Linked DNA regions of Elephas maximus indicus. The protein of the gene in region 4 interacts with the protein of the main gene of each other region in a pairwise test. Links are inferred from orthologs where the notes say so. Each region holds a gene or a part of one and is shown on either strand. Other genes may lie near its edges. The genes, in order: CCDC120, CLIC3, COPE and EFHC2.

The links.
Region 1: the proteins of EFHC2 (region 4) and CCDC120 interact in binary tests that used the Homo sapiens proteins (3 or more experiments, as listed by UniProt). The link is inferred for Elephas maximus indicus from reciprocal best matches to the Homo sapiens genes EFHC2 and CCDC120.
Region 2: the proteins of EFHC2 (region 4) and CLIC3 interact in binary tests that used the Homo sapiens proteins (3 or more experiments, as listed by UniProt). The two-hybrid records come from large-scale screens. The link is inferred for Elephas maximus indicus from reciprocal best matches to the Homo sapiens genes EFHC2 and CLIC3.
Region 3: the proteins of EFHC2 (region 4) and COPE interact in binary tests that used the Homo sapiens proteins (3 or more experiments, as listed by UniProt). The two-hybrid records come from large-scale screens. The link is inferred for Elephas maximus indicus from reciprocal best matches to the Homo sapiens genes EFHC2 and COPE.

The regions. Positions count from the first base shown.
Region 1 is NC_064846.1:122,538,699-122,545,522, forward strand, and holds the start of CCDC120 (coiled-coil domain-containing protein 120), read right to left. Parts: upstream 3,015-6,824; 5' UTR 2,702-3,014; intron 1-2,701. UniProt on the Homo sapiens protein: Centriolar protein required for centriole subdistal appendage assembly and microtubule anchoring in interphase cells. Together with CCDC68, cooperate with subdistal appendage components ODF2, NIN and CEP170 for hierarchical subdistal appendage assembly.
Region 2 is NC_064827.1:1,442,189-1,449,025, reverse strand, and holds CLIC3 (chloride intracellular channel protein 3), read right to left. Parts: upstream 2,785-6,837; 5' UTR 2,726-2,784; coding exon 2,690-2,725; intron 1,913-2,689; coding exon 1,803-1,912; intron 1,725-1,802; coding exon 1,599-1,724; intron 1,472-1,598; coding exon 1,365-1,471; intron 1,294-1,364; coding exon 1,118-1,293; intron 1,034-1,117; coding exon 875-1,033; 3' UTR 509-874; downstream 1-508. UniProt on the Homo sapiens protein: In the soluble state, catalyzes glutaredoxin-like thiol disulfide exchange reactions with reduced glutathione as electron donor.
Region 3 is NC_064821.1:38,774,015-38,781,282, forward strand, and holds the start of COPE (coatomer subunit epsilon), read right to left. Parts: upstream 3,007-7,268; 5' UTR 2,972-3,006; coding exon 2,846-2,971; intron 1-2,845. Other genes in the region: probable ATP-dependent RNA helicase DDX49, read left to right, coding at 3,287-3,401. UniProt on the Homo sapiens protein: The coatomer is a cytosolic protein complex that binds to dilysine motifs and reversibly associates with Golgi non-clathrin-coated vesicles, which further mediate biosynthetic protein transport from the ER, via the Golgi up to the trans Golgi network.
Region 4 is NC_064846.1:128,993,505-129,001,518, reverse strand, and holds the start of EFHC2 (EF-hand domain-containing family member C2), read right to left. Parts: upstream 3,022-8,014; 5' UTR 2,951-3,021; coding exon 2,909-2,950; intron 1-2,908. UniProt on the Homo sapiens protein: Microtubule inner protein (MIP) part of the dynein-decorated doublet microtubules (DMTs) in cilia axoneme, which is required for motile cilia beating.

The DNA.
Region 1 (6,824 bases), about 6.5 Mb from region 4:
GGCTACCAGGCCAAAGATTAGACAGGCTATAAAACAAACAATAACACATGTGAGGAACATGCTTCTTAGATCAGTCGAGTACACGAGACCAAATGGGCAATAGCTGCCCCAAAGCAAAGATAAGAATGCAGGGAGGGACAGGAAAACTGGACGAATGGACATGGGGAACCCGGGGTCAAGAGAAAGGGGGAGGATGTCAACACAGTGCAGGGATTGCAACCAATGTCACAAAACAATCTGTGTATAAATTTTTGAATGAGAAACAATTTGCAATGTAAACTTTTGCCTAAAGCACAATAAAATTTTTTTTAATTTTAAAAGAAAACAAACAAAAAATGCTGGAACCAAATACATTCAGATAACTTGTCTCAACTCTCACTATCCAAATTCAGCAACTGAATGGATTTAGATACATATCTGAGATAGAGTTGGTATCCCTCACTCTCTGAGCTTTCCTTACTTACCAGGCAAAATGCAGGAACCAAATATGTTTATACAAACCTAGGTATCCCAACTCTTGCTACTGGAACTCAAAAAGTTAATAGATGTGAATATATTTTTGCGTTAGAGTCCTTATCCTTCATTATCTGAACTCTACCTACTCTGTAAAATGCAGAAACCAAAAACTTTAAGATATCTTGGTATCTTTCACTGTCTGAATGATCAGAATGCTTCCTCTCAGAACTCAGGTACCAAATAGATTGGGACATCGAGGAACACTTATGGTGATGGTACTGTTATTAACAGGTTGGTTAAACGTTTTGGATAAATGAGATGGATTTGGTAGCTCTCATTATTCAAACTCTCAGTACTCTATGAGAAACACTGAAACAAGATGTAATTGAATAACACAGTACTTCCTCACTACACAAATTCTCCCCATCTCAGAATCAAGGAGATGCAGACAGCAAGGGATCATCCTATTAATACTGTTGTTATAATTACTACTGGATGGACCTGTTTCTAACATCCAGTGACCACGCCCCTCCCTGCCCCCCACACACAGACCCACCCCACAAATGTGGGTAGACTTAGCACCAAGACTGATATTGCTTACTGCTGAGAGAGAAGGGGAAATAAACCTCTGCCCCCATCCTACCCCCACAAAACCCTGAAGCCTCTGGCCCAGAATGGACTTGTTTCCAGGCCAGGAAAGCACGGATCACACATTCAGAATCAAGACCAGGGGGTGGAGATAACATGACCTGGAAGATTCACACATATTCCTGGGTCCGCTATCCCCAAATACTCGCTCATCCCCCTGACATGGGGCAGCCCCTCCGACCTGGCAAGGCTGGAAACATGACCTGGAACTTGCAGACTCCCAGAGAGCCAATGAATAATTTAGGGTATTCTTTCACACTTGGGGAAGGTGGGGGGGGCGTAGGACCAGTTCCATGCCCTCTTGGGGCAGAGAGAGAAGTGCAAGCTCTGTATGACATCACTGGAGTGAGGGTAGATCACATTCAAAACCCCATCAGCCCCACAGGACTGTTTGCTCAGGCAGCTGTAGGTGATGGAGTAGGCAGAATGAAAGTTCATTCCCCCTTTCGCTAAGAGAAAGTACTTGGGATGTACTTCAGAGGCCCTGGGAATGACGACCCTCCAAGTTCAGGAGCAGGGTATAATGAGACCCCTGTCCTTCTGGGCTCAGAGGGGATGGAAAGTGGGTGTTAGGAAGAAAGGAGATCTGAACAGGGTGGAGGGGAATGGTGAGGGTTAGAACAGGGGCCCAGGGTTGGGACTGGATGAGGGAACAAGACAGGAAGGAATGTAGGAGACAAGACTGAATAAGACTCATCAAAGAATAGAGGTTAAGAGGAAGGACATGGAATGAGCCAGGACACTGGCTAGGGAATGGGATGGAGTGAGGTTCAGGGCAGGGGTCAGAGACAAAGCACAAAAAGGGGACAAAACTGCAGGGCAGGGGTCAGGATCAGTATAGAACAGCAGTCACAAAACAGGACAGGTCAAAACAGTAGTTTGGGGGGCAAGAGGGAAAAGGGCAGGTTCAGGTTGGAGGTCAGGAAGAGGAAAAGACCAGGACAGCATGAGAATGGGGATGGGGATAGTGATGGGACAAGAGAGGAAAGGGAAAAACAGGACAGGTTTGGGGGCGAGGACAGGGCAGAAGACAGGGGGGCATTCCAAAGGTGGTGAGCCAGGACAGAGGTCAGGAGTCAGGAAAGGGCCAAGGGGAAGGGGAAAAACTATGAGGTCTGGGATCAGGTTGGGGTCAACGGGATAGGACATGACTAAGAAGGGAGTCAGAGACTGCACAGGGGTTTAGGGAACAGACAGGTCAAACATCTGGACAGAAAATGGGGTCAGCGTTGGGCATCAGAGCAGGGCAAGATGAGCTTCTGAGATGGCATGAAGTCAGGCAAGGCTCCGCTCAGGCCAAGAATCCTGAGGACAGGACTGGACGGGGTTTGGGGTGAGGACTGGGTTTAGAGGGGCAAAACAGGGGTTGAGGACCATGGCAGACCAGAATATGATTAGGTCAGGGGTCAGGAAGGAGGTCCTGGGCCAGGGTTCGTGGTTAAAAAAAATATGTTGTCAGGTAAGACAGGAGTCGAGAGAGTCCACAGGGTCAGAAGTGAGGGAGTGTGCTCGCGCAGGTACGTCTGCCGTTGGCGTTTCTCGGTCCTCACCCCGCCCTGTTCCCTCCCTTCGTCCCCGGGCGGGAGTTATTACTCACTGAGACTCGTTGTACCACGGCGTACGGAGGGGTCGCTGTAGGCCGAGAGTGCTGGTGGGTGCGCCCCTCTTTCGCGGGCCCCCGCTCGTCCTCGGGCCCGCGCCTACTCCCCTTCCGCGCCCTGCCCCTGGGCCGCGTGCACCGCGCGACGGATAGCCGTGGGGTTCAGACAGCAGAAGCGAAGAGGGTGGAAGAGAAGCGCCTGGCTCCGCCGCTGGCGGTGAATCCTCGCCCCCCACCTTTAACTCGATTTCCTTGGCTCCCGGCCTCCCGGCAGCACCACAGGCTCCGCCGCTGAGCGCGAAGCGGTATAAGGAGGGGAAGGGGGCGGGGCGCGAGAGCACAGCAGCGGCGGAGGTGAAGTGCGCAGGCGCAAACTCGGGTCTTCGGGTTGTTTTTTTTTTCCCTGCCCTGGGAGGGCCCTGGGCGGACAAACTGGGAGTGCGTGCGCACGCGCGTTCTCAAGGGCTGCCAAGCCGGTTAGGGGAAGGAACCTAGTAGCTCCCGCCCCGGGAGCTCACCTTTCCAGGTCCGGGTCCCGCCCCCAACGAGGCTACACCCTCTCAGTGATCAGAATGGAGCCCTTCACCCTGAGCTACCCTCCATGGACCCCCAAGCAGCACCCCAAACTGCCCTATAACAACCCCCACCACACCTCTAAACGCCACCAACAACCCTTTGTGCCATCTTCCAAATGCACCCCACACCACACACTCCATTGACCTCCAAGCTGCGCCCAAGTGACTAACTACATTGACCCCAAGCTATACCCCTAAATTACCCTCCATAGACATCAAGATTGCATCCAAAACAATTATCCATAGACCCCGAAATGCACCCCCAAACCTTGCTTCATCAACTCCCAAATCACTCTACACATTTACCTTTGATTTTCAACCTTCAAACCACCCTCTGTCATTCCCCAATTGTATCTCAAAACTACTCTCCATTGACCCCCCCCCAGCAGCACCTCCAATCCACCCTCCATGGGTACCCAAGCTGCACCCATAAACTACCCTCCATTACCCCTAAGTTATTTTCCCCAAACCATCTTCCATCAACTTTGTAAGCCAGCCAACATTGACTTCCAAACAGCACTTCCAAACCACCCTCCACCTACCCCCAATATGCAACCCAAAACACCCTCCACTGACCCCAAAACAACCCCGTATACCCTCCGAGTCATACTCTACTCATCCCCAAATTACTTTCCAAGAGCCCTCAACATCACCCCAAACATTCCTAACTACCCTTAGTGTGGCCCCACCTGCACACCCAGTAACACTCTAACAGTCTCCTGCTCTACCCCTGAGCCATTGGCCCCCCAAAAAATCTTCCTTTAACCCCACACATACACAAACTACCTTCCAACAGCCCCCATCACTATCCTAAATAACTTCCAACTACTCTATATGTGATTCCTAAGCTGCACTTCAGACCATGCTCCAACATCTCCTATACCTCCAAAACCAAACTGCACTCTGCCAGATTGCATGCCCCAACTCTCCAACAGTCCTCCCCAACTATACTTACAAATAACCACCAACCATCTTGCTGTAGTTACCAAACTGAACCCCCAAATCATACTCCAGGGGCTTAAAATGTGTCCCGCAAGCCCTCCAATGACTCTTTTTTAAAAAAAATATTTTGTTGTTGTTGAGAATATACGCAGCAAAACATGAGCCAATTCAACAGTTTCTACATGTACCATTCAGAGACATTGATTACATTCTTCCATTTGTGCAACCATTCTCACCCTCCTTTTCTAAGTTGCTCCTCCCCCAATAACACAAACTCACTGCCCTCTAAAGTTCCTGCCTAATCTTTCAAGTTGCTGTTGTCAATTTGATCCCATATAGATAGCCTTCAGTGATTCTTAACTGCACCCCAAACCACACTTCAGTGACCCAAGTGTACCACGAAGCACCCTGCAGTGATCTTTTCTTAGAACAATTAAATAGGATATAATTTATATACCATAAAATTCACCCACTTTAAGCATACAATCCAGTCTAGTAAATTTACCAAGTTGTGCAACAATCACCACAATCCAGTTTTAGAACACTTTCATCATCCTCAATAAGATCCCTCATGCCTAAATACAGTTAATCCTCATTCTCTTTTCCCACCCCACGCAACCATTAATCTACTTTCTGTCTCTATGTTGTTTTTGTGTTGTCGTGTGCCATAGAGTCAATTCAGACTCATAGCAACCCTATCTGACAGAGTAGAACTGCCCTGTAGGGTTTCCAAGGAGTGGCTGGTGGATTTGAACTACCGACCGTTTGGTTAGCAGCCTGAGCTCTTAACTGCTTGGCCACCAGGGCTCTTTCTCTATAGATTTGCCTTTTCTGGACATATCGTATAAATGTAATATATGGATTTTGGGTCTGGCTTCTTTCACTTAGCTTAATGTTTTTGAGGTTCATCCGTGTTATAACATATATCAGTAGCTTGTTCCTTTTATTGCTGAATATATTCCATCCAGTGATCTTTAACTACTTCCCAAATCACCCACTAGTAGCTCCCTAACTATAACTCACAACAGTCCTCTGACATAGAGATCTTCGAAAAGGCCCCCAAACTGCATCACAAACCTTACTCACTAGTCCTCAACCATACACCAAACCACTCTATTGACCCTCAAACCTCATTATTAAACTACTGCCCTAGAGCCTCAACTTCATCCCAAACCACCCTCCACTACAGTCTCTACCACACCCTCAAACTGCCATCTATTAACTCCCAAGAATAACCCCCAAAATGCCCTTTCAGTGATCTACAACTCTAACCCAAACTACTCTTCAGCAACTCTAAACCTCATCCCTAAAATTCCCCTTCCAACAGCCCCCAGCTCTGCCTCTAAACACTCATTGTCTTAGTTATCTAGTGCTGCTATAACAAAAATACCACAAGTGGATGGCTTTAACAAAGAGAAATTTATTCTCTCACAGTCTAGCAGGCTAGAAGTCTGAATTCAGGGTGCCAGCTCCAGGTGCTGCTTTTTTGGTGGTATGAGGTCCCCCTGTCTCTCTGCTTGCTTCTCTCTTTTATGTCTCTCGTAAGATAAAAGGTGATGCAAGCCCACCGTTTATCTTACACCCCAGGGAAACTCCCTTTACATTGGATCAGGGATGTGACCTGAGTAAGGTGTTACATCCCACCCTAATCCTCTGTAACATATCTAATCTCGCCCCATTAGCCACAGGCAGAGATTAGAATTTACAACACATAGGAAAATTACATCAATCACAAAATGAAGGACAATGACACAGTACTGGGAATCATGGACTAACCAAGTTGACACATATTTTGAGGGGACACAATTCAACCCATGATACTCCCTAACTATCTTCCCCTGATCCCTCAACTGCAACTTCAAACTACACACCAAACCACCTTCAATGGCCCCATCCCCAAACTTGTCTTAAATTACATGCAAATATTTTTATTTATTTTTATATAGCAACTATGGAAACCCTGGTGGCATAGTGGTTAAGAGCTATGGCTGCTAACCAAAAGGTCTGCAGTTAGAATCCACCAGGTGCTCCTTGGGAACTCTATGGGGCAGTTCTACTCTGTCCTATAGGGTCACTATGAGTCAGAATCCACTCGATGGCAGTGGGTTTGGTTTTTTGGTTTTATAGCAACTATACCCACAAAACATCTTCCAATTTTTCCCAACCGTATCCTCCAAGATTTGCTAACTACACCCTAAACTGCCCTCTAATAGCCCCTGGTGCTACCTGTAAACGTACCCCATCTGCCTTCCCACAAGCTCCCAACTCCACTTCTAAACCACCCTCCACTGACCCCCAACCCTACCTCAGTCTTCCCTTTGATGGTGTCCAGCTGCACCCCAAACACATTCCAATGACCTCTAAGCATAACCCTATGCATCCTCAAAGGGCCTCTAATGACCCCCAACTGTACCCCCAAGCCATCTATATTAGTTTCCTGTGGCTGCTGTAACAAATCACCACAAGAGTTGGAGGCTTAAAACAACAGAAATTTATTCTTTCACATGCCTGGGGGCCATAAGTCCAAAATCAGCTTCACTGGGCTGAAATCAAGGTGTCAGTAGGACCGTGGTCCCTCTGGCTGCTGGCATTCCTTAGTTTAT
Region 2 (6,837 bases), on a different chromosome or scaffold from region 4:
GCAACAGTTGTTTTGTTTCCAGCCCTCCGGCAGAGGTGCGGGGCCAGACTTGCTCCTGGGGGCTGCCTTGGGATCGGGGCCACCGGAAGTAAGCAGATTGCATCTTGGCTCAAACCTGCGGCTCCTGGGCACTCTCGGGAGGAGGCTCCTGGTCGCTGGGTCTGCCGGAGCCCCGGCTCTTGCATACCCGCCCAGCCCTCCCTGCCTGTGAAGCTGGTGCAGGGCAGGCCCAGAGCTACCCAAGAGGTCGACGCTATTCCCACCCCAACCCGGCACACATCCCGCCCTGCACACGTCACTCTGACAGACCCCACCCAGATGGCCACACACCATGCACAGATGCGCTGTAGGGCCTGGGCAGTAACCCGTTGGAGCTGCCCCCACCAGGAGTCCGAGAAGGGCTGCGGCCACCTGCTGGGGCGGGATTGAGGAATGTGGGCCAGCCCCGCCCCCCTGGCCCCAAGCCCCAAGCCCCGGGGTGCCCAGGGCTGGGCCCTGGCTCCCCACCCTCCTCGGCCATCCTGCCGCCCCGCCCTGGCCTGACTGGTTTGGGAACCCAATCCTGTCCCCGCAATCCCTGTCGCAGGCCCCAGATGGCTGCAGGAGGCTCTGAGCCCCTGGGTTTGCCGTGTGTGTGGGGGAAGGGCTGTGTCCCTCTCCCCGCACCTGCTCGTTCTCCTGTCCCTGTCATTCTGGGAGGGTCATCTGGTGCTGAGCTTCCCAAGGTGGGGCTTAGGGGTGGCAGTGATCGTGGGGTCTGGGCCCTCGGACGTGAGATCACGCGCACTCAGGCCCAAGTGCCTCGATAGGGCTCCGGACGAGTGGGCATGGGGGCGGCAGGCGGGGAGCTCGGTCCGTAGGGAGACGTGAGCGGCTAGCGGGGGCGCACGGCTGGTCGGTAGGCCGCCAGGATCTCGGCGCTGTGTGGACATGTGTACTTGAACTCCTTTTCTTGCAGCGCGCTGTCCAGGTAGCGGCGGACGCCTCGCAGCTCGCCTGGGATGGGCGCCTGACGGAAGTGCGCGCACACCGTCTGGGGGGGGAGGCGGGTCAGGCCCTCGCGCGCCCGCGCCCCGCCGGCCGCGCCCCGGGCCCCGCCGCCCGCGCCCGTGCTCACGTCCACGATGTGCAGCTTGGGCAGCAGCCCGCAGTCAGCCAGAGTGAGCTGGTCACCGTCGAGGAAGCGGCGGCGCGATTCACGCAGCTGAGGCTCGCGCTCCAGTTCGTGCTCTCGGGGCGCGCGCAGGTAGCGGTCCAGCCGGACCAGGGCGCGCAGCAGTTGCTGGTACAAGGCTGGGGGATGGGGGCAGTAAGGATCCGGTCCCGGAGCGCCCTCCCGGCCAGCCTGCTCCCGCCCCACTCACCGTCGTCCTGCGCGGGCACTGGGTTCTTGATGAACGCCGAGAACTTGTGGAAAACGTCGTTGCCTGCTGTACTGGACTCTCGGTAGCGGGGCGCCAGACTGGGGAAACTGCGGGCGGGGTGGGTGGGGACGCTCCATCAGGCCCGGTCAGCACTCCCTTGCCCGCGTCCCGCCAGCTTCGTCCTGGGTCGTCCTTTCCGGAGCCCATCGCCCCCTCCCCGCCCGGGGCCCTCACTCGGGCGGCCCCAGCGTCTCCTCCAGAAACTCCTCGATCTGCAGCGTGTCTGTCTTGGCGTCGCCGTCGTAGAGCAGGATGGGCAGCTGCGAACCGGGGGCGAAGTCCTTCAGCACGTCTGGGGACCTGCAGTACAGGAGGAAGGAGGGCCTGGCCGAGCGGCGCGGAGGCCCGGGAAGGGTCGCAGGGCGGGGATGGGCTCACCTTCTTACATCCACGGTGGTGAGCGTGAAGGGCACGCCCTTGAGGAGCAGAATCATGAAGAGCCGCTGGCAGGAAGGGCAGTGCCCCACGCTCTCGCCATCCTCACTCGCCTGGGTGGGTGGAGCAGGGGGTTAGGGCAGGGAGCAGCCCCAGGAATCCACCACCAGGCGGGCTGGGAGCAGCGCCAGGGCTGGCTGGTTGGACAGGGCCGCTCCAAGAGGGCACTTGAGTTGGAGAGGGTGCAGAGCTGCTAGGGTGGGGTGGGACCTCCGGCCCCTCAAACCTTATCTTCAGAGCCTGAACAGAGGCCAGGCCCCCTGCTCCAGGCCCGTCAGCTGGTGACAGGGTGGGGTGGGCTGGGAGCTGTTCTCTCAGTGATTCACGCCTCTGAGCTGGGCATCTCTGCTGGCACCATGCTGACTCCCCGCACCCCCAAGGTGGGGAGGGGTGGAGTCCGGCCGCATTCCACCCCTCTACACACAGACAGACCCCAAGAATGCGCACTGACCTGAGGCCAAAGAGCTGCTTGGCCCAGCCCTTCCTCACTTCCGCACACTGACCCCAAGCTCCAGGGCCTCAGCCTGGTTGACTTCCCCACCAGGGCTTCCCCCCACCCCTGCCCCAAGTGATGGGCTGGGCCCAGAACCAGACTGGGAGTGAAGAAACTCCCCCACTTTGGGGGTGACTTACTGGGGGCCTTCTTCCCCAAGCAGCCCTTACTTTACTCAACCTGCTGACAGCTGCCTGAGTCCCCAAGCCCACCAGAACGGCAGGGGCTCAGCCACTATCTGGGAGACCCCCTCAGCCCACACCAGAGAGCTCAGCCCAGAAGAGCCACTCAGCCTCCTCCCCCAAGGCCCTGTCCCCCAGCCCAGCCCTCTTGGCACCTTCACAAACAGCTGGAGCTTGGCGGTCTCAGCCATGGCAGGCGCAGAGGCTCTGAGCACAGACAGGGCGCCAGGCAGGGGCCTGCGCTCTTTAAGGCTCCCTGGCTGCCCCGCCCTCCCTGGCCCAGGGGCCGCCCCACCAGGTACTTAGTCGGGAGGTGAGGCTGCCCAGGTTCAGAGCCAGCTGTGCAGGACTGTACGTGCAGAAGGCTGAGCTCCAGGGTGTGACTGTAGGTGGAAACTGGGTGTTTGGGGCTAGCCCGAGATTGAGACTGAGGCAGCTGGTACAGGCTGAGGGCCCAGGACTGTGGGTCTGATTCAGGGCAGACAGTCGGAGGGGTTCAAGAACAGTGGACTGAGTGAGAGGCAGGGGGGTGGAGTGCCACTAGCTGGGGGGTGGTGGGCACAGCTCTGGATCAGGCACCCCCACCACAGACCCCAGCCCAAGATCTGCACTCAGGGCCCTCTGCAGGGAGCACCTGCTGTTGATCAGGGCCTGGGCCCAGAGAGCTAGGGTGTCTGCTTGTTGGGAGAGAGGGGAGGAACATCCTAGCCGTGGCCTGAGTTTCCCCATCTCTAGGATCTGCATTAGGAGTGATGAGCCCTCTTGGGAGGGACCCGCTACCCAACGCACAGCTGGCCCTGCTGGGTCAGGCGGTGTCACAGACAAGCCTGCACTCCTGCTCAGGGCAGCACCCCACATTCCAGCCAGCCAGTCTGGGAGATGAGCTTGGCTTTCCAGACCGTGGTGGAGGCGCCTCCACCCTGCACTACTGCCCTCCCACGCAGGCCCAGCGCTGGCTTTTCTTTCTCCTCGAACCTTATAAAAAGAAGTGTGGGGAGGGAAGTTAGATCCCCAGCCTCCTGGAGCCCACAACCTGGGTGCACCCCGTTCCCGTCTCCCCCCGCCCCCGGGCGCCTAGTGGAAGGGGAGCAGCCCCAGGGGACCCCGGAGGGGCGACCTCCTCCAGGCAGGGCGCCCAAGGAGGCTCGGCTGCCACCCGGTGGCCGCAAACTGCATTGCCCGGAGCCTGCGCGCCCGGCTCACCTGGAGCGCGTAGAGTGGTGCTGGCCGGACAGGGCGTTCGGGCGGCGCCGGTTCCCCACGCCCGCCCGTGCGCTCTGCCCGCTGCCCCCTCGCCAAGGGCCCTGGTCCACGCGGCTTCGGCTCCTGTCCCCGGCTCAAGGCTCCGCAGCCTTCCCGGGAGTCTGTGCCGTGCCCGAAATGCGCCGTCCTCTCCAGCACGCGGTCGGGGCTCAGGGGCACCGACGTGCGTGCGGGGGCCTCCAGTGGTCACATAGTCAGGTAGCGGTCAGGCTACCCCCCTGGAGCCTGAGTTTTCCCCTCCACCCCGCCTCTATGAAGCCCCTGTGAAGATCCGGTGCTCCACGCTTTCAGCCATGCCAATACTGTCGGTGCCACAGTCATAGCTCCTCTGGCTGGTTTCTGCTTCCCTCACAAACTGCCAACCCTGGGGAAGCAGCCTGAGGCCCTGCACACCTGTACCTGTTCACCACATGTCGTGTGTGTGTGTGTGTGTGTGTGTGTGTAAAATTTTATATGCACAATAATAAAACCATTGTGGTCGAGTGGTTTCCAACTCGTAGTGACCCTATAGGACAGAGCAGGACTGCTCCATAGGGTTTCCAAGGAGCAGCTGGTGGATTCCAACTGCTGACCTTTTGGTTAGCAGCCGAGCACTTAACTGCTGTGCCACCAGGGCTTCATAATAATACAGTATATAATGTATGTAGTGTATAACGTGTATAGTGTCTAACATGTAGTGTGTAACATATGTAGTATGTAACATGTGATGTGTAACGTATGTAGTGTGTAACATATGTAGTGTGTAACATACACAGTGTATGTTGTTGTTAGGTGCCCTGCAGTCAGTTCCGACTCATAGCGACCCCATGTACAACAGAATGAAACACTGCCTGGTCCTGCACTGTCCTCACTACGCTTGAGCCCACTGTTGCAGCCACTGTCTCTGTATATGTATATGTGTGTGTGTGTGTGTGTGTGTGTATTCTTTTTGACCCCAAAGGGAAACCCAGTACACTTTAAACAATAACCACCCCCAGCCCCTGGAAACCACGATTTTACTTCTTTCTGCGCATTTGCCTAGTCTAGGTATTTCATATAAATGGGATCATACAATGCTGTCCTTTTGTGTCTGACCTTGTCACTCAGTGTCGTGTTCTCAATGCTCACCTATGTTGGGGCATGACTCAGGACTTCATTTCTCTTTACGCTTGAGCATTCCACTGTATGCATAGACCACGTATTTTGATCAGCCCACCTGTTGCTGGACACTTGGGTTTTTTCCAGCTGTTGTGAATAGTGCCGCAGTGAACACTGGTGTACACAAAACTGTTCGAGTCCCTGTTTTCAATTCCTTTGGGTACATACCTAGGGGTGGGATTGCTGAGTCATGCGGTGATTCTATGTTTAGCTTTTTGAGGAACCACCAGACTGTAGGAGGTGTCATTTTAAGATGGGGATTAGGTCCAGTTTAGGGCCCTGGCTCTGTGCTCCGGCAGCGGGTAGTCAGAGGGAGCAGGAAGATTGAGCTTTTTTGTCCCTGGACCTGCCCCTCCCTCGGCACAGGGGCCTGGGGCAGGGAGCAGGCTCAGCTCGGTAACCCTGCTGAACTAGCACCCTAGCACCCTCTCCCCAAGGCATTTCGGGATTGTCTGGAACAGGACCTTGTCCTGGCAGAGAAGAGATTTGTAGGGCCACAGACACCCTCTGCCTCCATTTGGGGCTGGGACTGTGTGCTGGGTTTGCACTGATCAAGCCAGGGTATCCAAATGTGGAGCCTGGCCAGCCTTTAGGGGCTACAGCTGGTACTGCGGTTCCAGTTAGGCAGCTGGGCTGTGTGTGGCTGGGGTGCGGGTGGGTTTCAGCAGGTTCTGGGTCGGGTGGGGTGGTCGGGACAGGCTGAGGGCTTATGCCTCACCCACCTCCAGCTCCTAGGGACCTGGTATGTGAAGGCAGTGGTGGCCGACAAGGACTTGTCCATGGAAAAGAGGCCCAAGAAGGTGTCCCCCATGATGGTGACTGCCCTGGAGGGTGAGAACCTAGAGGCTTCGTTTACTTTCCTGTGAGTCTTGGCCCCACCCCTGCTGGCTCAGGGGCTTCTCGCCTACCCTAAGCAGCCCCACCTGCTGTTCCTCTGGCTACCGGATATTTGAAGTTACGCACACTGGTAAAATAGGTGTGTCAGGTTCATCAGCAAACTTTGGAGGAAGGAGTCCTGGGGTGCTCTATGCCCGGGAGCAGGTGGCAGTGAAATTTTGGGGGCACCTGAGCAGAGGGACACCTGGGCCAGAAGAGCTGAGGACGGCTCAGGTGTGCCGCCTTATGTTCCCCGGGAAGAAGGATCAGTGCCACAAGAAGAGAGCTGTGATGGAGAGAATGGGGGGAACCTGGCACATACAGTGCCCTGAGTCCGGGCCCCCACCCCACCCCCAACCCCATCCACACACGGAGAATGCCCAGGGTGGCCTTCCTGCCTGAGTGTCCCTGCCCTGTCCAAACTCCAGGGCATGCTAAGCTTCACCTTCCCAGGGACTTGCTGCCCCAGGAGGCAGTAGTGACCTGAGATCAGACCCCAGGTATGGCGGGTTCATCTGCAGCAGGGACTTGGCTGACCACCCCGTCCATCTGGGTGGTCCTAGCTGTTGACCTGGCAGGAATATGGGGGTTAGGGATCGGGGAGGGATGGAAGCATAGCTGTGGGGCAGAGACAGGTGTCCAGCTGCCCTGAGCTGAAATGGTCAAGCTCCAAACTCTGACACTGTTTGCCCTGACCCCTCCTCGTGTTTCCATGAGGGGTTGGGGACCCTTCCCCCAGGAGGCGGCTCTCTCTCGGTGATTGGGGTCCATAGTGGTGGGGAACAGCAAGACCCTGGGCTCCTGCCAGGCTGGGGGCTCTAGGGGCTGGGTGTGCTGTACGGTGAGGGCAGCCTAGAATCCAGAACCTTCTAGGCTGTTCCTTAAATGGTCTGGGTGTTTTCTCTAGGAATGAAGACAGTGAAGGCCGATTTCTTCTCTGCCTACAGATGGGGACAGGAAGCACATGCTGCTCCAGGACCTGCCGTGAAGGACCACAATGTGGGAAAACTTTCCTCATGGCAAAGCT
Region 3 (7,268 bases), on a different chromosome or scaffold from region 4:
GAACCATCCCCAAAGCCAACTCTTCAGACAGGGATTGGACTGGACAGCAGGATAGAAAATGATGCTGGTGAAGAATGAGCTTCTTGGATCAAGTAGACATATGGGACTATGGCATCCCTGTCTGGAGGCGGGATGAGAGGGCAGAGGGGGTCAAAAGCTGGCAGAATGGACACAAAAAGAGAGAGCAGAGGGAAGGAGTGTGCTGCCTCATCAGGGGGAGAGCAGTTAGGAGTATATAACATGGCATATATGAATTTTTGTATGAGAGACTGACTTGATTTATAAACTTTCACTTAAAGCACAATAAAAATTAAAAAAAAAAAAAAAAAGGGTCAGTCTCAGGTTCTGACCATACTGTCCAGAAGGCCTGGGGAGACAGGACCACTCCCACGGGAAACAGGACCTCTCTCAAAATGAGAAAAAACAGCTACAAACATCCATTAACAATCGAGACATGGAATGTACAAAGTATGAATCTAGAAAACTTGGAAGTCATCAAAAAGAAATGGGACTAATGGATCACAGCTACCGTGGCTTCCACCAGACTGAATCTAGTACAACTAGATGGTACCTGGCTACCACCACCGACTGCTCTGGCAGGGATCACAATAGAGGGTCTCGGACAGAGCCGGAGAAAAAAGTAGAAAATTCTAACTCACACAAAAAAAACCCAGACTTACTGGTCTGACAAAGACTGGAGAAACCCTGAGGATATGGCCCCTGGACAAGTAATGAAGTCACTGTTCAGGTTCACCCTTCAGCCAAAGATTAGACAGGCCCATAAAACAAAACAAAGAGGCACACCAGCCCAGGGGCAAGGACTAGAAGGCAGGAAGAGACAGGAAAGCTGGTAATAGGGAACCCAAGGTCGAAAAGGGAGTATTGACGGGTTGTGGAGTTATTAAGCAATATCGTAAAACAATATGTACACTGTTTAACAGTAGCTAGTTTGTTCTGTAAACCTCCACCTAAAGCTCAAAAAAAAAAAAAAAGAAAGAAACAGAAACACGTATGGCCGTTTTGAATCAGACAATTATGGTCTACTATGCCAGACTGCCAAAAGAACGAACAAATCTGTATTGGAAGAAGTGCAACCAGGATGCACATTAGAAGCAAGGATGGCAAGACTGCGCCTTACACATTTTAGATACGTTGTCAAGAGGGATCAGTCCCTGGAGAAGGACATCATGGCTGGCAAAGTACAGGGTCAACGTAAAAGAGGAAGACCCTCAATGAGGTGGACTGACACAGTGGCTGCAACAATGAGCTCAAGCATAACAACGACATAAACCGGCAGTGTCTCGTTCTGTGGTGCATAGGGTCGCTATTGAGTTGGAACCGACTCGACGGCACCTAACAACAACAACGACATGCCGGAATGACAGCTTGAAGAGAAATGGCATCACATTCATTGTCAAAAAGAACATCTCAAGATCTACCCTGAGGTACAGCACTATCATTGATAGGATAACACCCATAAATCTACAGGAAAGACCAGTTAATACAACTATTCTTCAAACTTACACAGCAACCACTAAGGCCACAGACGAAGAAATTGAAGATTTTCAGCAACAGGACTACAAATAGCACTAATCACAGGCCGTAATTATGTATCCAAACCTTCTTCACTCACCATTTTTGGGACCTGAGACAGTGAAGGTGGGGCAAGGCCACTGCCATGTTCACTCTGCTTTAAAGGCTTGCCCTCAAAATCACAGCGAAGTCTACACACCTTCCTAAAAGGCCCTGCCGCTCCTCTCCTTTTACCTGCTTCACTCGCTGGGTCTTGCCATGCTGAATGATTTTCTAGCTCTTAAACAGCCAACCACCACCCGTGTGTCAGTGTGTCCTACTGTGGTGGCTTATGTGTTGTTGTGATGCTGGAAGCTATGCTACTGGTATTTCAAGTATCAGCAGGGTGGAATGGTTCAGTGGAGCTTCCAGAATAAGGAAGGCCAGGAAGAACCCCTTGGTTCTGAAAACCAGCCAATGAAAACTCTATGGATTACAATAAACCACTGTCTGATACAGTGCTGGAAGATGAGCCATCTGGGTTGGAAGGCATTCAAAATGCACAGTGGCTGCAACAATGCACTCCAGCACACTACAGACCACGAAGATGGTGCAGGGCAGGGCAACATTTCATTCTGTTATACACAGAGCCAGGGCCGACTGGGTAACAATAATAAATATCCAAGCTCACGCCCACCACTCTCCTTCACACCACTCTCTTGCCACTTCCTCACTTCGTGTTTCTTCTTTTCCGTCTGTCTTTTCTGCTAGGCTGAGATTTCCAAGAGAGCTGGGATCTTTGTCTATTTGGGTTATTGTCCCGAGTACTGCAAGAACACATTCCATGGCCCGTTCTAATCCTCAATAAGTACAATGAGTACTTTATTGAATGAATGAATGAGTTTTGGCAGAAACAACTGAGCTAGCAGGCAAAGTAATTATTTGGGGAAGCGACCCTCTCTCCGAGCCTTGAAGTGCTTGTCTGCGAAATAAAGATAAAGAGCAGTCCCCTCTTCACGGGGACGGAGAGTACGGCGGGCACAGTGTGCGCTCGACAAGTGGGACTTATCATCATCATCATATTATTATAAAGTGGAATAACTACCTCCCTCACTCGAATACATTCCCGGGCGCAGAGCGAGCCCTTTATAAACAAAGCTGTTACAGATTTAGACTTTGGAATAAGACAATGTTAATTCCTTGCCGCGCTCTTAAGAGGTGAGCGCAGGGAATATGCTGCGAGAAAAGGGAGAGTATTTAGCAGCTGACTGTGACCACAAGAAGCTGCCGGCACCTCCGCCCCCAGAGTCCCCCAGCCTCGGCACAGCCGCACCTTCACCCGCTGCGCCTCGTTGATGCACTGCTGGTAGCTGCCGATGTAGAAGGCGTTCTTCACGTCGAACAGCTCGTCCACTTCCCCGGAGCCGCCAGTGACCGGACCGGGGGCCGGAGGCGCCATGTTGCTGTCGTCTCACCCACTTCCCTTTCCGGAGGGACACGTCGGCCGAAATCAGGGACCGCCGCGGAGCATGCCGGGAAATGTAGTTTACTTGCTCCAGGTGACAGGGAGATGAACCAATGGGAAGCTCATAGATACGAGTCAGGGGGCGGAGTGCAAGCCTGTCCCGCACTGCATCTTGGGGAACGCATGAGGCAGCGGACGAAGGGGGGGATTGGCGGAGGGGGCTAGTCACTATGAACGAAAAGGCTTTCGTGACGTCATCGGCGCGCACCGGAAACGCGGCTCATTACCACCCCGCGACTGGGGAAGAGGATGCCGTGTTTCGCGGAGCTCGGGCTGTCATCGTGGCTAGTGGAACAATGTCGGCAGTTGGGTCTGAAGCAGCCTACGCCCGTGCAGCTCGGCTGCATCCCCGCCATCCTGGAGGGTGAGTGTGCCGGCCGCTTTCCCAGGAGGTGTCTCCGCTTTTCTCCCCCTCTCTTCCCTTCTCGCGGCCTTTGTCCACGCTGGTTCCGCGAGGTGAGGCGCAGTCTTGGGCGTTCCGGGCGAGTCTGGGCTTCGGAGGTGGACAGGGCGGTGTTGGCTTTCAGACCGCGTGGCGGACCTTGCGTCCGCAGAGACGTGACGTAACCTCTAAAGTTGCATAGTCTCAGAGCACAGGGAAGGTTGACCATTAAGTCTGGTCTTTTTACAAGTATTTGGGGTCTGCATCCCACTACTCTCCTCCTCCCTCAGGGGTTCTCTGTTGTGTTCCCTGTCAGGGCAGTCATCGGTTGTAGCCAGGCACCATCTAGCTCTTCTGGTCTCAGGCTGATGTAGTCTCTGGTTTATGTGGCCCTTTCTGTCTCTTAGGTTCGTAATTACTTTGCGTCCTTGGTGTTCTTCATTCTCCTTTGATCCAGGTGGGTTGAGACCAATTGATGTATCTTGGATGGCCGCTTGCTAGCATTTAAGACCCCAGATGCCTCTCTCCAAGGTGGGATGCAGAATGTTTTCTTAATAGATTTTATTATGCCAGTTGACTTAGATGTCCCCTGAAACCATGGTCCCCAAACCCCCGCCCCTGCTACGCTGGCCTTCGAAGCATTCAGCTCATTCTGGAAACTTCTTTGCTTTTCGTTTAGTCCAGTTGTGCTGACCTCGCCTGTATTATATGTTGTCTTTCCCGTCACCTAAAGAAGTTTTTATCTACTGTCTAATTAGTGAATACCCCTTTTCTTCCCTCCCCCTTCTCATAATCATCAAAGAATATTTTCTTCTCTGTTTAAACTATTTCTTGAGTTCTTACAATAGTGGTCTTATACAATACTTGTCCTTTTGCAACTGACTAATTTCACTCAGCATAATGCCTTCCAGGTTCCTCCATGTTATGAAATGTTTCACAGATTCATCACTGTTCTTTATCAACGTGTAGTACTCTGTTGTGTGGATATACCATAATTTATCTATTCATCCGTTGATGGGCACCTTGGTTGTTTCCATCTTTTTGCTATTGTAAACAGCGCTGCAGTGAACATGGGTGTGCATGTATTTGTTTGTGTGAAGGCTTTTATTTCTCTAGGATATATTCCAAGTGGGATATAATCCAAGTGGGATTGCTGGATCGTATGGTAGTTCTATTTCTAGCTTTTTAAGGAAGCGCCAAATCGATTTCCAAAGTGGTTGTAGCAATTTAGATTCTCACTAGCAGTGTATAAGTGTTCTAGTCTCTCCACAGCCTCTCCAACATTTATTGTTTCGTGTTTAGTTGGGAGGATTTTTTTTCTCTTTATGTTGAGGTGTAATCCATACTGAAGGTTGTGGTCTTTGACCTTCATCGGTAAGTGCTTCAAGTTCTCTTCACTGTCAGCAAGCAAGGTTATGTCCTTTGCACATCAGAGGCTGTGAATGACTATTCTTCCAATCCTCACGCCCCATTCTTCATATAACCCAGCTTCTTGGATTGTTTGCCCAGCAGACAGATTGAATAAGCATAGTGAAAGGATACGACCCTAACGTACACTTTTCCTGACTTTAAATTACCCAGGATCCCCTTGTTCTGTTCGAGTGACTGCTTCTTGATCTATGTACAGGTTCCTCGTGAGCACAATTAAGTGTCCTGGAATTCCCATTCTTTGCAGTGTTATCCATAGTTTGTTATGATCCACACAGTGGAATGCCTTTGCATAATCAGTAAAACACAGGTAAATATTTTTCGGTATTCTCTGCTTTCATCCAGGATCCACCTGACATCAGCAACGATATCCTTCATTTGATGTCCTCTTTTGAATCTGGCTTGAATTTCTGGCAGTTCCCTTTTGATATACTGCTGCAGCCGCTTTTAAATTATCTTCAGCAAAATTTTACTTGAATGTGATATTAATGATGTTTTTCAATAATTTCCACATTTGATTGGATCACCTTTCTTGGGAATAGGCATAAATACAGATCTCTTCCAGTCTATTGACCAGGTACCTGTCTTTCAAATTTGTTGGCATGGATGAGTAAGCACTTCTAGCACTGCATCTATTTGTTGAAACATCTCAATTGGTGTTCCTTCAATACCTGGAGCCTTGTTTTTTCGCCAATGCCTTCAGAGCACCTTGGACTTCTTCCTTCAGTACCGTCGGTTCCTGATCACATGCTGCCTCCTGAAACGGTTGAACATAGATCAGTTCTTTTTGGTATAGTGACTCTGTATATTCTTTCCATCTTGTTTTGATACTTACTGCATCGTTTAATATTTTCCCCGTAGAATCCTTCAATATTGCAAATTGAGGTTTGAATTTTTTCTTCAGTTCTTTCAGCTTTGAGAAATGCCAGATGTGTTCTTCCATTTTGGTTTTCTACCTCTAGGTCTTTGCACATGTCATTGTAGTACTTTGTTTTCTTGAGTTGCCCTTTGAAATCTTCTGTTCAGTTTTTTTATTTTATCATTTTCCCTTTTGCTTTAGCTACTCAAAGTCAAGAACAAGTTGCAGAGCCTCTTCTTACATCCATTTTAATCTTTCCTTTCTTTCTAATCTTTCAGTGTCCTCTTGCTTTCTTCATGTATGATGTCCTTGATGTCATTCCACTACTCCTCTTGTGTTTAGTCATTAGTGTTCAATGCATCAAAGCTGTTCTTGAGGTGATCTCTTAATTCAGGTGTGGCATACTCAAGATCATAATTTGGCTCTCGTGGACTTGTTCTAATTTTCTTCAGTTTCAGCTTGAACCTGCATATGAGCGATTGATGATGGTTTGTCCTGCAGTCAGCCCATGGCCTTGTCCTGACTGATGACATTGAGCTTTTCCATCTTCTCTTTCCACACATGTAGTCAGTTTGATTCTTGTGTATTCTATGTGACGAGGTCCGCGTGTATAGTTGCCATTTATATTGTTGAGAAAAGGTATTTGCAATGAGAAAGTCATTAATCTTGGAAGATTCTGTCATGCGATCTCCAGCATCGTTTCTGTCACCAAGGCCATATTTTCCAACTACTGATCATTCTTCTTTGTTCCCAACTTTTGCGTTCCAATCAGCAGTGATTATCGGTACATCCTGATGGCACGTTCAATCAATATCAGACTGCAGAAGCTGGTAAAAATCTTCAGTTTCTTCATCTTTGGCCTTAGTGGTTGGTACGTAAATTTGAAAAACAGTCGTATTAACTGGTTTTCCTTGTAGGCGTATGGATGTTATCCTATCAGTGTTGTATTTCGGGATAGATCTCGCAGTGTTCTTTTTGACGATGAACGCAATGCCATTTCTCTTCAACTTGTCATTCCCGGCATATTAGACTGTATGATTGTTTGATTGAAAATGGCCAATACCAGTCCATTTCAGCTCGCTAACAACTAGGATATTATCACATCAGCAAATGAAAGTCCTGAAAGCTTGACTCCATGCCTGTAATTAAGGTCAACTCTACTTTGAGGAGGCAGCTCTTCCCCAGTCATCTTTTGAATGCCTTCCAACCTGAGGGGCTCATCTTCCGGCACTATTATCAGACAGTGTTCCGCTGCTATTCGTAAGGTTTTTCACTGGCTAATTCTTTCCAGAAGTAGACCGCCAGGTCCTTCTGCCTTGTCTGTTTTAGTCTGTAAGCTCAGCTGAAACCTGTCCACCATGGGTGACCCTGCTGGTGTCTGAATACTTGTGGCACAGCTTCCAGCATCACGGCAACACGCAAGCCCCCACACTATGACGAACTGACAGACACGTGGGGAAGAATGCAGATTAGAGGAGGGAATCCCAGGTCTGGGAGGGAACCAGTATAAGGTGGTGGTGAGCAGCATGGCGTCTCGGGTCAGGTGGATGTGGCTTCCAGTC
Region 4 (8,014 bases):
TGGACACTTGATGTATGACAAAGGTGGCTCTGCAGAGGAGTGGAAAAAGGGTACCCTTCTCCAAAAGTGACTCTAAGTCAACTGAATATCCATATGGGAAAAGAATACAACTTGATCCCTACCCCTCTTTTACACACAAATAATTTATTCTAGGTAGACTGTAGATCTAAATGTGAAAGGTAAAAACAACACAATTTCCAAAAGATAACATGGGGAAATATCTTCACGACCTGGTGTAAAGAATGGTTTCTTAAATAGGAAACAGGAAGCATAAACCTAAAGGAAAAAAATTATTCACCAAAAACACCATTAAGAGAGTGAAAAGGCCAACCACTGACTAGAAGATATTTCCAACGCATATATCTGGCAAAGAAGTTATACCCAAAATAAGTATAGAACCCTTACAAGTCACTAAAAAAAAAGACAACCCAATAGAAAATTAGACAAGTGACAGACACTTTCCAAAAGAGAATATCCAAATAACCAATAAATGCATAAAATGTGCTCACCTTCATTAGGAATCTGTGAAATGCAGATTAAATCTACCAAGAGTTACACTACACTCACCTATTGAAATAACTAAAATTTAATAGACTAGTAAAATCAAGTGTTAGAATGTAGAGCATAGGAACATAAAATGCTGGTGGGAATTTAAATTGATATAACCATTTTGACAGTGTCTACTAAAGCTAAATATATAAATACCATGTGATCTAAGAAGTACCAAAAGGGGTGAACAAGTATAGTCATAGCAAAACTATTCTTAATAGCCCCAAACAAGCCAAATATCTATCAAGAGTAAAATGTACATATAAACAATGTCATAGTCATACAATGGAATACTATAGAGCAATGAAAATGGATAAGTACCTCTACAGAGAGCCACATGAACAAATCTCACAAACATAATGTTGAGTTGAAAAAGCTACTCACAAAAGAATAAACATTAGACATTCCATTTATAATACATTCAAAAGCAGGGAAACCTAACTATAGTGATGGAAACCAGGAGAGTGGTTACCTTTGGAGAGTCAGAAAGGAATAGTGAACAGGAATGGTCATAGGTAGGGTTGCCAGATAAAATACAAAACTCAGTTAAATTTGAATTTCAGATAAACAACAGATGATCTGTTAGTATAAGTATATCCCATGCAATATTTGGGACATGTATTTTTATTTACTAAATCTGGCAACCCTAGTCATGAGGAACACTAGGAATTCTGGGAAGGTTCCATTTCTTGACATTCATTTTGTAATCATCCATTGTGCATTTTTCTATACATTGTGCTTCACAGTAAAAGGGTAAAAAAAAAAAAAGAGCAAAAGTACACCAGTACAGCCTTGCAGATTTTAAAATATCTCCTCCAACCACTGGTTTTCCTTCCCACCCTTAATCATTGCATGTGAGAGCTGTGATACTTCTGCAAGTGGTGGGCATCAGTAATCTGAACCATTGTGGGCCAAAAGGTGTGGGCTTCACTTTCAATTTTTATTAAAATTACTTTTACACAGCATGCTTTTTTACTTCTGGAATCTTTTTTCATTTTTCATGCCCTGCCTCTCTAGGCCCATTCTTATTTGGATGGCTGGCTTAATCTTACCAAAGGGCCGCGCTGTGCTGGAAGGCCAGCCTCTACCCACCAGGCAAGAAATGCGCAAACCAATATTTTTGACTGAACAGACGCATGGGGGGGTCAGAATCCTGTGGACTGAGGCTACAAAGCTGACCAGTACTTTAGAGTCATCGACTTGGATACAGACATGTTCAGAATTCATAAAGTCAAATGCTTAAGCTTAGAAAGTTTATGAACTGCTGTTGTTAGTTGTCTCTGAGTTGATTCCAACTCATGGAGACCCCACATGTATACAGAGAACTGCTCCATAGGGTTTTCTAGGCAATGACTTTCCAGGAGCAGATAGCAAGGGCTGTCTTTCAAGGTGCTTTTCAGTGAGTTCCAACCGCCAACCTTTCTGCTAGTAGTCCAGCACTTAACTATTTGCAACATCCAACTGTTTGCTCCATCTAGTTCCTTCCCATTGGTTTATTATTTACCTTTTCCTGCAGACACAACTGGCAAACCCAAGTAAAGAACAGTGACCAGTGCAAACAAAAGCCTGAATGGCTTTTCTGCTCTTGTTTAAGTAAGGTGCTATTTATTCACCTGAATGTTCTTAAGGTGAATAAATAGCACCTTACTTAAACACCTTTCTTAAAGTTCTTCAATGCTCAGAGTATTTTGTGTTGTTGTTGTTTTGTTTTGTACCTTCAAAAAATTCCTCCATGTTTCAGTGCCAATCAGCCCCCATCCCCCTTGAGAGTGCCAGGCTTCTTTGCTTTACTAATGGAAAACTATATTTATCCCTTTCACACCCTATATTGAGGATAAATAATTAGGCTCCTGGGCTGTGAGGACAGGTTGCCTGGAAGATATTCAGCTCCACCACTGAGATTGTGTAGCTCTGGGTCGGTGAGTGACTCTGTGCCTCAGATTTCCCAAATGCAAAATGGAAGTAAAAATAGTACCTAATTCAAAGGGCTGTTGGGAGCATCAAATGCCCTATAAGGCGATTAAAACACAGTTCCTGACACACCTTAAACGCTCAACATTTACTAAGTATTACTGTCATTATCATCATTTACTTTCACGGGTACTGTCGTTTCGTTTATCACCTATAAGGACACTACCTGTGTACCTAATGTAGGAAAAGCACCCAGATGCAGTTGTGGAGAGAGGGGAGGGAGAGATGACAAAAGGCAGAGAAATAAGGATTCCACCAGCCTATGAAGTTTGGTCCAAGATGAGCCCAACCGGCAGGAGGATAACTAGCGATTGGCGGCCACCAGCGGGGTCAATGACTACCCACACTCCTGCCAGGACCTCTGACCTCGGGCGTCCTCACTACTCACGTTGCGGTTGAAGTTATTGCCAGGCAGCAGGGGCAAGGCCATGGCTCTCCGCGTCCGAGGACCCAGGGTCTGAAAGTAGAGGGGCCTGCTTGCAGCGGCTGCCTCGAGGCCGCGTCATTCGACCTCTCGTTACCTGGAGACGGGAGGCGGTGTAACGGAAGGGGGAGGGGCCGAGCCGGGGCTCGGGGCGGGGCTCGGGCGGCAGGGAGGGGCGGAGTTCGGGCGGGGCTCGGGTCGGTCCTCCGGCTGGAGCTAGAGTAGAGGGAGGGGAAGGGGCAGGGTCGGGAGGGCCTCTTCTCCTCGCCCGCTGCTTCCAGCGCCCATCCACACTCAGCCGCGTACAAGTCATCCGAGTCTTCTCTCTACACGCGTTGTGCACGCACAAAGACTTGACAACCACACCATTCTCCGCCCCCCGCTGCTTTATGGTTTAACCCCTTTGTAGAGCTCACATCCTTTCATGTACTTAAACTCCTCCAATACTGGTCCCAACATTTTTGGCCATTTGATTATTGAATGTGGTTATTAAATAGTTCAAACATACAGAAAAGTTCAGGAAACAATACATCCATGTGCTCACTGAGATTTAACACAAGTTAATGTTTTCCTATGCTGCATTTACATCAGCGTTATTTTTTAAATTCAAGTATTCTAGGCTAATCTAATGCCACACATATCCCATCCATCCCCCACACAAAAACCCGTTCCAGTGGTAACCACCATCCCCAGTCCTTCCCCTGTACATTTTTATACTTGAACTAAACGTGTGTAAGGTGCTCATAATCATGGAGTGGCCAGGAGAGGAGTCAGGTGGCACAAAACTCAGCACCTGTCACTCCATCATCTATCCAAGATGCCCAGGCCAGGAACCTCCTCCATTCTTCTCCCCACACCTACAGCTAATCCCTCCCTGCCTTCTACTGTTTAGACACTCTGGCATCGGTTAGTCACCACCTCATCTATCTCAGTTGAGACCCCATTATTTCTTCCCTGGTTTTCCTCTTTAAAAAAAAATTTAAAAAAAAAAAAAAAACCTGACTGATATTTCATCCTTTCGTAACTCGTGATACACCTGTTACTCTTCCGCTTAAACAGCTTTCTAGCCTTCTATCCTTCTTTCAGGAGGCAGGAGGCAGTTGGACTCCTCACCCTATTCTAAACAGCCTTTGCCAGGGTCACCTGCCAACACCCTCTGTCCCTTTCTTTGCCATGCCTGTTCTACTTCAGCTGTGAAAAGCCACTGGCAGCTCCCAGACCAAGCCCTGAGGTTTCTTTCTCCTTTCTGGGGTTTTGCAAATGTCACTATCTACTAGAAACAACCTTTTCTCCTTTCACCTGGGTAAGCCCTCTTGTTTTTCAGGACTTGGTTCAGTGTGGGAGAGAGGCATGGAAACCTTTGCCATTTCTGGGAAATGTTTCTTCACCTTCTTCCTGCCCAACCCCACCCCATCTGTATTAGGTGTCCATTTTAATTGTGGCTTTCATCTTTCTATATTGTAATGACATATTACTTGACTCTCTTTAAATATCCCAAAATTCCTCCAGGGCAGGGTCTGTATCTCCTTTTCTGTTTTGTGTTATTTTGTTTTTTGGTTGAGTTGGGTTGGGTTTGTTTGTTTTAAATTAACATAAAGGTACAGATAGTAATTTAACAAACATACAGATATCCACCACACAGATTAAACATTTGCTAGCATTTTGCCATATTTGCTTCAAATCCTTTTGTTTTTAAAGAAATAAAATGTTATCGATTCTGCTGAAGCTCTGTTTATACTACTACTCAATCCCATTCCCTACTTTTGCACTAGAGGTAACCATCTTAATGATGTTGGTTTGTATACTTCCTTGCAACCATGTTATTATACTGATACCAAAACCCACTGCTGTCGAGTCACTTCCGACTCATAGCGACTCTATAGGACAGAGTAGAACTGCCCCATAGAGTTTCCAAGGAGCGCCTGGTGGATTCGAACTGCCAACCTTTTGGTTAGCAGCTGTAGCACTTAACCACTATGCCACCAGGGTTTCCATACTGGTATGCATTTATTCACAAAAAGTATACATTGTTTTCTGTGTTTACAGCCTTTACACTATAAATTTCTGCTACTTGCTTTTTTCAACTAAGATTTTTTTCAGATTTCTACATGTTGACGCATGTAGATATACTTCATTCATTCTGAATGCATGGTATGACTATACCACAAATTATCTATTCTCTGTTGATGACAATTAGGTGTTTCCAATTTTTCACTATTATCGACTATGATGCAATGAACACCCCTGTATATGTCCTCTTGGCACAGAAGGTAGAGACTATCTAGGGTATGTTTAAGAGCTCAGGCTGCTAACCAAAATGGTCGGCAGTTTGAATCCATCAGCAGCTCCTTAGAAACCTTATGGGGCTGTTCTACTCTGTCCTACAAGGTCGCTATGAGTCAGAATCAACTCTATGGCAATGGGTTTGGTTTTGTTCAGTTTATACCCAAAAGTGCAATTGCTGGGTTGTAGGGGTGAGGCAGTTCTACTCTGTCCTATAGGGTCGCTATGAGTCGGAATCGACTCGACAGCACTCGGTTTGGGTTTTAGGGGTACACACCTTCGACTTTACTAGATCTTGTTAAATCATTTCTAGAATCACTGAACCACTTAAGAAAATTTTTTTAAAAAATCCTCTTTTCTCTTTATCCTTTCCAACAATGGGTGTTATCAAATTTTATAATTTTGGACCATCAACTGAATAAATGTGAAATGGTATACCCTTGTTATCTTAATTTATCTTTACCTAATTACAAGTACAGTTGGTCATCTTTTCACATGCTTATTACTTTCTGTTAATTACCTATTCATACCCTTTTTTACTGGATTTTTCTATTGAATCATGCATGATTTTCTCACTGATTTGTAGTTCTGTGTGTGTGTCTATATATATATATATATATATATATATATATATATATTCATTCTAGACACTAATCCTAGCCATAGCAAATATCTTCTCATCACTTGTGCTTTGCCTGTTACTTCCATTTATGGAGTTCTTTATTGCACAAAAATTTGTCATTTTCTCTACTCAAATGTATCACCCTTTCCCATTATGGTTTGTGATTTGTACACTTTGCCAAAAAGATGAAGTTACTCTCCTACTTTTATTACAAACATTTTTAAATATTTTTACTTTTTAAATTGAAATAATTTTAAACTTATTTTTAAAAGTTGCTAGATAGTACAAATAACTCCTTCACACAGATTCCTTCAATTTTTTTTAATATTTTACCATATTTGTTCTATTATTCTCTCTCTATATACACATGATTTCCCCTTTGACAGTAAATTGCAGACACCATGTCCCTAAATACTTCACTGAATATTTACAGAAAATATTCTAGTACAGAGCTGAAATAGAATTATCAAAATCAGAAAATGATCATTAAGTATGGTTCTTCCTTAAAAAACTAGAACTAGAAATACTATGAGGGAGGAGGAGCCAAGACAGTGAAATAGACAGACGCTTCCAGCAAGCCCTCCTTACAACAAAGACCCTAAAAAACAAGTGAAACGAGTATATTTATGACAAGCTAGGAGCCCTGAATATCAAAGGCAAGCTTAGCAAAAGAACAGAGGGGCAGGGGGAGGAAGAAATGGTTCAGAAGCGGAGAGGAGTTACTGGACCTGAATCATGCGGAGCCCTCAGGCACCATTCCCGGAGCAGCGGTGGCAGACTGGTACTAGCATTCAACCGCAGTTTCCTCAGGGAGAAGCAGCCAGCAACACACCCTACTCACACCTCCGGAAGCTGAGAAGAACGGCGCTCCCGGCAAAAGCTAAGTACTTGCATATATTTTACCGTGCATCCCCAACCCCAAGCCACCTTCAATGGCTGAATTCCCTGGGCCTGAGACAGGCCCTGCTCAGTGCCTAGGGCCATCCTCCTGGCCCTGGAGAAGAAAAAAATTTGCAATTGGGGGAAACGATAATTTGTCAGCTCCACTAACCAGGGGAGCTCAGGACAGAAGCGGCTACTGTCCAGGCATAAACAGTCCATGGACTTTGAGCACCTTTCCCCTCTGCATGGACCTGTGTGGGCCTATTTCAGGAGACAACACCCATATTTGCAGAATCCAACCTTTTTAGCTTTGAGGTGGAGAAGTGGGTGTTTGATACTTGACATTGCTTTGCCTATTAAACAGTGTCCTCACCTACCCACATAGGGGCCTAAGGACTGGTAGCTGCACTCAGATCACCCAGCCACACACGAAAGGGGGTGCAAGAATAAATGGTACCTCCCAGTTCCTACAAACAAAAACATTGGGTACCCATGGTCCATCTGCAGAACTCACCCACCTGCATGCTCTAGGGAACAGGGATGTGCTTTCCTCAGAGACACTCAGGGGTCGGTTTTCTACCCCCTGCCTTGTTCAGAGGGTGACCCCCATTGCAATCAGATGCCAGTACATACACCAATCACCCCTGCCCCCCTAAGACTGTAGGACACAGCCTGTACCACACACTTGATGATCAGCTACCTGGACACCTGAGATGAATTCATACAAGAAAACTGAATGAACTCACAGACTGATATACCTGATAACAGCTCTAGCCATCTGGGGACAAGATGTCAGAGCTCCAAAGGTGAAAATAATCAAGCTAGCTCACTCAAGCAAACCATTTGAGCATGTCAAAACAAAAAAAAAGCAAAGCAAAAAGCTATGACACAGTGAGCAAGCATAAACTAATACAATACCTTGTAGAAGGCTTGGAGAAAGCAGTCAATATCAAGTCACACAAAGAAACAGACCATGATCACCTCAACAGGCTCTCAAAACAAAGAATACAGAGATATTCTAGATGAACGTGCACTTCTGGAATTACCAGAGGCGGAATACAAAATATTAATAAACAGAACCCTTCAAGACATCAGGAAGGAAAAGAGGCAATACGCAGAACAAGCCAAGGAACACACAGATAAGGCAATTGAAGAAATTAGGAAGATTATTCAGGAACATAATGAAAAATTTAATAAGCTGTAAAAATCCATAGACAGAGAACAATCAGAAATTCAGAAGATTAACAATAAAATTACAGAATTAGACAACTCAATAGAAAGTC